Linked DNA regions of Elephas maximus indicus. The protein of the gene in region 1 interacts with the protein of each later gene in a biochemical or structural test. Links are inferred from orthologs where the notes say so. Each region holds a gene or a part of one and is shown on either strand. Other genes may lie near its edges.

What was found. The genes of interacting proteins can lie anywhere in the genome.
Region 2: the proteins of NFE2 (region 1) and MAFG form a complex in vitro, tested with the Homo sapiens proteins (2 studies listed by BioGRID and IntAct, with this or other methods). The link is inferred for Elephas maximus indicus from reciprocal best matches to the Homo sapiens genes NFE2 and MAFG.

The regions. Positions count from the first base shown.
Region 1 is NC_064822.1:109,787,751-109,791,493, reverse strand, and holds NFE2 (transcription factor NF-E2 45 kDa subunit), read left to right. Parts: upstream 1-968; intron 969-1,720; 5' UTR 1,721-2,012; coding exon 2,013-3,152; 3' UTR 3,153-3,512; downstream 3,513-3,743. UniProt on the Homo sapiens protein: Component of the NF-E2 complex essential for regulating erythroid and megakaryocytic maturation and differentiation. Binds to the hypersensitive site 2 (HS2) of the beta-globin control region (LCR).
Region 2 is NC_064837.1:71,712,957-71,716,699, reverse strand, and holds the start of MAFG (transcription factor MafG), read left to right. Parts: upstream 1-1,541; 5' UTR 1,542-2,223; coding exon 2,224-2,317; exon of another isoform or gene 2,318-2,934; intron 2,935-3,012; coding exon 3,013-3,077; intron 3,078-3,211; coding exon 3,212-3,664; 3' UTR 3,665-3,743. UniProt on the Homo sapiens protein: Since they lack a putative transactivation domain, the small Mafs behave as transcriptional repressors when they dimerize among themselves.

The sequences.
Region 1 (3,743 bases):
CTAAGGCCTATAAAACACCAGCACAATTCTTGACAAGTGCTTAATAAGTCTTTGCTATGTTTTTTTTTTTTTATATTACCTCAGAAGAGGAAAGACCCCTGGCTGTGTGGGTTGGGGAATGGTCAAGATGACCCTGCGGGGACACGGGGCAGAGGTCCAGTGTCTCCAGAGCCCATTCCTCCTCTGCTGCATGCAGCTGATAAACCTCTTATCTGGCACAGGCAGGGGAGCCCAGGACCAGGATAGGAGGCGAAGGCAGGGCTGCTATCAGCCACCAGGCCTGGGCCCTATCTCAGGGAGGGGGAAGGGCTGTCTGCTTGACTCTTCCCACAACACGCCCATTGGGGATTCCCAAGCACTCACTTTCATCTTGGGAAGAAAAGGCAGAGACTCTAAAACGGGATGAGGAAAGCATGGGTGTTCCCCTGATGTCCCAGAGGACAGGAGAAAAAAAAAGAAAAAAACCCGGAAGTTCTGACTTCTGCCCCTGGCCAATTTTGGGGAGTAAGAACTAAGGGAAAAGAGAAGGCATCTTGTCTGAAAAAAAAAAAAAAAAGGCAAAGTCCAACTGTGTTCCCAAAGGAACTGCCTGCGGCCACAGCAAGTGTGGTAGAAGTCCACCGCAGAAAAAGACCTTTCAGCTTAAAGAGTTGGTTGGGTGAGTCCAGCACAGGTGAGGGAGGGGGCTAAGCTCTCTCCTTCCCTCAGGTGAAGTTGGAGGTAACCACTCAATTGAGGGAGGACAAAGGTGCAGACCGCTAGCAGTGGAGACCCTAACCTTTTCTTCTTTGCCACAGGTTGCTGGGGGCCGTTTGGGCTTTGGAGGAACCTGAACTAGGCCCTGGGCCAGTAGGATGCCCCCTTGTCCTCCCCAGCACAGCAGGAACAGGGTGACACAGCTGCCTACTCCGGATCTGGGCGAGATGGAACTGACTTGGCAAGAGATCATGTCCATCACTGAGCTGCAGGTGAGTAGGGGTGAGGGTGGGGCAGTAGAGGAGAATTGCTGAGAAGCAAGGGCTCTGGCTGGACTGAGGCAGGGGCTAAAGGGAGCAGGGCCAGGGTCTCAAACTGAAAATGTTCCAGGCACTGGAGAAGGAAGGGCTGGAGTTTGAGGGAGATCTGAATGAGACCAGAATATCAAGCAGGGGGTAAGAGTGGTGAAGAGGGAAGGATCTGATTGAGGGGGTAGGCTCTCTCCGCAGCCACTCTGCTCACATCACTCTATCCCACCTCCTGCCCCACCTCCTTTCTCTTTCCCCAGCCTCCCCTTCTCACCTTCTCTTTCCTCCTATGCTGCCCATCATCTTCCCTGTTTTCCTCCCCCTGCCCTTAGTAGCTAGGCCCCTTTCCCTCAGGTAACAGAGCAGTAGTAGTTCAGGGGCCTCAGGAAGGGTAGTCAGACTATGCTGGGGTCCTCTCCTCTGGCTAGTTGGACAAAGGGGTGTCTGTTGGCTGAACAATGGTGCCTTTGTCCCCAGCTGGGCTGGAGCAGGGTGGCTTCCCCGAAGTGGGTTGGGGGCCCTGTTTCTAGAATGTTCTCTCCTCTTTGCTGCACCTAGGAAGGGACAGAAAGCCTGGAGAGGAGAGGGCAGAGCCTGGGCTGGCTCACCGGGGTGTTTCTTAGCTCCCAGCCCTGGTTTTGTCCCGCCCTCCTTCCTTCCCCTGCCATCACTGCCTGGCATCCTCAGGATCTGCCCCAGGCCTTCCTCCCACACAGCAGCTCCCTCTGCTGGGCACCTGGAGCAAGGCCAGGGTCTGAACTTGACCCTTGGACCCTGGATAACTCCCTGCAAGCAAGGTTCTGCGAGGTCATCTTGGATAACAGCTCCTTGTCTTCCTGAAGGAAACAAAAGAACGTGAGCCATTTTAACCCAGTAAGAATGTCTGAGGAGATTCCATAATTGTTCCAATGTAAGGTAGTCCTTTCCGAAATCTGACCTTAGTGACTTCCATTCTTAAGCTGCTTTCCTCTTGGAACAGATGCATCACAGATTTATAAGAAGCTTCTGATGATTTTTAGCAACTTTCTGTTCCCTTGTTACTGTCTCACTGGGTCTTTCGGAAGGACCCGGCCTGGGCCTGAGAAAGAGCTGGCATCTCTTCCTCAGCATGTCTCCAAACATCTTTGTCTTTCTTTGCAGGGCCTAAACACTCCAAGTGAGCCATCGTTTGAGTCCCCAGCCTCAGCCCCATACCCTGGGCCCCCACAACCCCCAGCTTACTGCCCCTGCTCAATTCACCCCGATGCTGGCTTTCCCCTTCCTCCACCACCCTATGAGCTCCCAGCACCCACATCCCATGTACAAGATTCCCCATACTCCTATGGCAACATGGCCATACCAGTCTCCAAGCCACTGACCCTCTCAGGCCTGCTCAGTGAACCCCTCTCAGACCCCTTGGCCCTCCTGGACATTGGGCTGCCTGCGGGGACTCCCAAGCCCCAAGAAGACCCAGAATCAGACTCGGGATTATCCCTCAACTATAGTGATGCTGAATCTCTTGAGCTGGAGGGGACAGAGGCTGGACGGCGGCGCAACGACTATGTAGAGATGTACCCAGTGGAGTACCCCTACTCACTTATGCCAAACTCCTTGGCCCATCCCAATTACTCCTTGCCACCTACTGAGACCCCCCTGGCCTTAGAGCCCTCCTCAGGCCCTGTGCGGGCCAAGCCTACTGCACGGGGAGAGGCAGGGAGCCGGGATGAGCGTAGGGCCCTGGCCATGAAGATCCCCTTTCCCACGGACAAGATTGTCAACTTGCCGGTAGATGACTTTAATGAGTTGTTGGCACGGTACCCACTGACTGAGAGCCAGCTGGCACTAGTCAGGGACATCCGACGGCGGGGCAAGAACAAGGTGGCCGCCCAAAACTGCCGCAAGAGAAAGCTGGAGACCATCGTGCAGCTGGAGCGGGAACTGGAGCGGCTGGGCAGTGAGCGGGAGAGGCTTCTTCGGGCCCGTGGGGAGGCAGACCGGACGCTGGAGGCCATGCGCCAACAGCTGACCCAGCTGTATCAGGACATTTTCCAGCACCTGCGGGATGGAGCAGGCAACAGCTACTCCCCTGAGGAGTATGCATTGCAACAGGCTGCTGATGGGGCCATTTTCCTGGTGCCCCGGGGAACCAAGACGGAGGCCACAGACTGACCTGACCCAGAAGGGTGGGACTGGTAATGAGGATTTCTTTCATTCTCCTCTGATAAAGGTACTCTCTAACCCTGAGCCTGGAAGAAACTGAGTTTTCTAGACTAGAGTGGACAATGGGCACACCTGGCATTTAGAGGCTCTAGGGTGTGTTCTCATAGACTCATAGCGACCCCTATAGGGTCGCTATGAGTCGGAATCAACTTGATGGCACTGGGTTTGTTTTTTTGTTTAGGGTGTGTTCACCTTGAGGCCAGTATGTGAGGGGAGGCTGGAAACGCTCTTCTGTGACTCAGTTTCCCAGGTTTCCATCCTCCAGGTCTTGTCTAACATTTGGTCTATAAAGTGCTCTGCAGAAATATACTTCCGTGTGTCTTTCTTCTCTAGGGAGGGTGATGAAGCTGAGCACCCCTTGGAGTTTACTGCTTGTTGGGGTGGGAAGGGATCCTGCCAAGCTCATGTCTCTCACCTGTGAGCTCTGTTTGGGAGAAAGAGAGGGGGTGTCAAATGAGGAGAGAAGTACACACAAAGTTTGGCCTCAAGCGGTATGAAGCTCTGTCACTTTCATCTCCCTTTTCAGAGCCAAGGAGAATG
Region 2 (3,743 bases), on another chromosome or scaffold:
TCCCCTGCCTGACACGCTTTTCTCGGGCAGCGGTCTGGTACCCTTTCTGAGGCAGTTCCCCAAACTGGGAACTAGTTCTGTGAGCTGAGAGGAGGGGAGGAGCTTAGGGGGGCAGTGCTGGCAGGCTGAGAAGGATGGGCAGCCCCAAGCCAGAGAGGGCGGCAGTGGGAGGAAGAGAGGACAGGGCTCCTGGACTGGTGACAGGGGCCACTCCACCAGGACGTTGCAGCAGGAGTTAGAAGCCAGAAGGCTGAGGGATCCACTGAGCTTACTGTGCATGTGTCCATGCTCAGCTTGGGGTGATGGAAGCTGTGGGGGTGCCTGGCCTTGGTGCACCTGGCCTTGGGGAACAGCAGATTGCCTGGTGTGGACAGTGCGGGATGGGAGAATGCAGTGTCCCGTGACCTCAAGGTGTCCCTTCCTGAGGCTGTGTTTGGAGAAGTCAGCAAGGAAAAGGGGCCTGGTGGATGTTGGTATTTTGGTCCTAGTGGCCAGGCACTCTTGGGAAGTGACAGCCCAAGCGTGGTATAGCCTGAGCTGGCTCTCTTGGGGTGTATGAGTGGTTCCTGGCCCTGGAGCTCAGGGATTCATCAGGTTGGCCTTGTGGTTTGCCCTCAGGGGTGCCACACCCCCCAAATCTCACATTTGGTCCCCTGGGGCTTAGAGATGTTTTCACACTTCAGGGAACCCTTTGCTGGAGTTGTATCCTTTAGGAAAATGCAGGTTCCGGGAGGATGTTGTTTTTGTCTTAGGACTTCTTTGTGCTTGAGTGAAGGTTTAGACTCTCATCTCAGAGTGCCTTCCTAGCTGAGGGCTCTCTGGAGGAGGTGGGCCTGAAAGGCTGGTGGGAGCTGGGCTGGGGCATCCACAGTGTCCTCAGGTGTGCCTAGCCCACTGGGGCTGGCAGGCCAGGATGAACTCTGCTTCTGCCGTGTCCAGGCTGTAGGGTTGGGCACAAGGGGAAGGGGATGCCGTCCAGACCACTTCCCTTTCCTGATCCTCAATTTGGTGGGTGACCCAGGGCCCTCGGTGGACCCTCGGACAGCTTCTCCACATGGTGGGCTCAGCCTCTGGGAGGGTGCAGGGTTGGTCTTTTGTCAAGAGGAGGATTTTCAGTTGTGCAGGTGAGTGGATGACCCGCCTTCAGGACTGGGTGGAGGAGGCCTGGGGTGGGCAGCTCCTTCTTAATCTGCCTCTGGGACCCCCTTCCTCTAGTTTCTGGAGGTGCCCTGGAGTCCTAACCCCCAGCCCATCCCCAAGGCTATCTCTGTCTTCTGGGTGGGCAGAGGCCAGAGGGCCAGAGACCCTGGCTTTGCTGAGACCGCGCACACTGCGTGTGCTCATGCATACACGCATACAGCACACCTTTGATTAGGAGCAACTGGCTGCGCTTGTGCTGAGTTCAGGCCTTTTGTGGAGGGTGAAATCTGTCGAGGAGGCACTTTTCTGCTCGCTCCAGCCGCCACACTCGGCACTTTTCTGTGTGATCTCTTCAGGAAGTCATCGTTGTGCTGAATGGGGGGGGGAGGGGGTGGGAAAAGCTGGTGCCAATGCCGCCTGGGGCCACCTTTGCCTGGGTTGTGCAAAAACCCAGGGCTGCATCCCTGCACCTGTTCAGGCGCAAGGCTGGTGAACTCCTCCAGGCTCCCAGGGTGTGCAGGCAAGGACTTTCTGGTCTTCAGCCTCAGTCTCCATCCTTGGACCATGGAAGTACCTCTGGCCTTTCCTCCCCACTCTCACCTGTGGGTGGGCAGTTGGGTATGAGATGTGAGATGGGGTCTCTATCGAGTGTCCACCAAGAGCCCTGGGTCACCCCTACCTTAGCTCCTCTGAGGAAGCAGGAAAGCCTACAGCCCACATTGCCTCAAGCTCTGGTTTCCTGGTGCACCCTTCACTCCTGAGCCACAGCTCCCTGGGCCTAATCTGGAAAGTGGGGGGCAGAGCAGGAACGGAGGAAAGTCCTGGTTTACGGGTCTGGAAGGGGTAGCTGTGCAAAAATGCCCTGGTCATGCATCAGTCAAACACCTGAGGGTGGGGCAGGAGGGTCCCCGTGTGGATGGGGTGGCTCTTTGTCTTGGCTTCCTGGCTCTGTGGGGACTGACCTGGGATGGCAGCCTGAGTGGTCAGTGACCCCAGGGTGAGGGGCTGCCCACTGAGCAGGGCCCTGGTGGCTGCTGTACAGGTCCTTGTGAAATCCCCGATGGGGTGGGGCAGGGGTACTGGATGCTGCAACTTCAGCCCAGAGGCCAGTTGCCCCATCAGCGGAAGAGGCAGACAGAGAGGGCCGGAGTGGCCTTGGGTTGGGCGCTACTACAAGGTAGGGTGCACCTGAAAAGGGTCAGAACTCGTTGGGTGGCCCTGTCCCCACCTCTGCACAGTTAGATCTCTGGGGGACTCTGGTCTTCTCTGCCGAGTCCCCAGTGGGGACAAGCCCCCAGCCGTCCTGGGAGCTGGGACTTTGTCCTAGTGGCAGCTGGAGGGAGGACCCCGGAACTTGCGTACTCAGGGTTGCTGCACGGCCCTCACCTGCTGCTGGCCTGCTGGCCTTCCTGCTGGCTGCTCCCACAGGTCCCCTGGGGCTGGGCTGGCTGGCAGGGCCCCAGAGTGCCCGTGCTGCTGGGCGGGAGTGGTGATATGCTGAGTCAGCGTGACTCGCCGGGAACAGTCACTCTGGGGCGTGCACGCAGGGTTATTTTTAAAGGTCGTGGCTTCCTTCTGGGCCAGCCCCTCCTGTATTGTCGTCCTTCTGATCTCCCCTTGCCCCTTTTCTGGTCTCTGCCTCCCTCACAGCTGTCAGTTCCCCTGCCTAACAGACCCTCTTGGCCCTCCCCACCACCTGAGTCCCAAAAGGCAGGGTGCACAGAGAGCAGCCCCACCTGCCCCGAGAGGCCTGCTGACGGGCTGTCCTGGGGTCAGGTAATGGGGAACAGGCTGGTGAGCTGGCGTGGGATGGGCAGGTATGGGAGGCTGACGGGGGGTCTCCGGCCCTGACTTCTGCCTTGTGTCTTGCAGAGAGAGTCTGCTCACTGCGCCCCCGGGTTATGACGACCCCCAGTAAAGGAAGCAAGGCCTTGAAGGTGAGTGGGGGACGGGGTGGGAGCGCCTGGGGTGGGGTGCCATGGGAATGTGCCACCCTGAGGGAGTGCCCCAGGTGAAGCGGGGCAAGGCACAGCCAGAGCGTGCTGCCCTGACCATGTGCCGTCCACCACAGGTGAAGCGGGAGCCTGGCGAGAATGGCACCAGCCTGACGGACGAGGAGCTGGTGACCATGTCTGTGCGGGAGCTGAACCAGCACCTGCGCGGCCTCTCCAAGGAGGAGATCATCCAGCTGAAGCAGCGCCGGCGTACACTCAAGAATCGTGGCTATGCGGCCAGCTGCCGCGTGAAGCGGGTGACACAGAAGGAGGAGCTGGAGAAGCAGAAGGCGGAGCTGCAGCAGGAGGTGGAGAAGCTGGCCTCGGAGAATGCCAGCATGAAGCTAGAGCTTGACGCCCTGCGCTCCAAGTATGAGGCCCTGCAGAACTTCGCCAGGACCGTGGCCCGCAGCCCGGTGGCGCCGGCCCGGGGCCCCCTCACTGGCGGCCTGGGGCCCCTTGTCCCTGGCAAGGTGGCTGCCACCAGCGTCATCACGATAGTCAAGTCCAAGACAGATGCCCGGTCGTAGGGACGTGCGCGCCCCGGTGGGTCAGCGAGGGGCCGCCAGGCACGTGGTGAGCTCGGCAGTCCTGTCCCCCTTTCTTCCC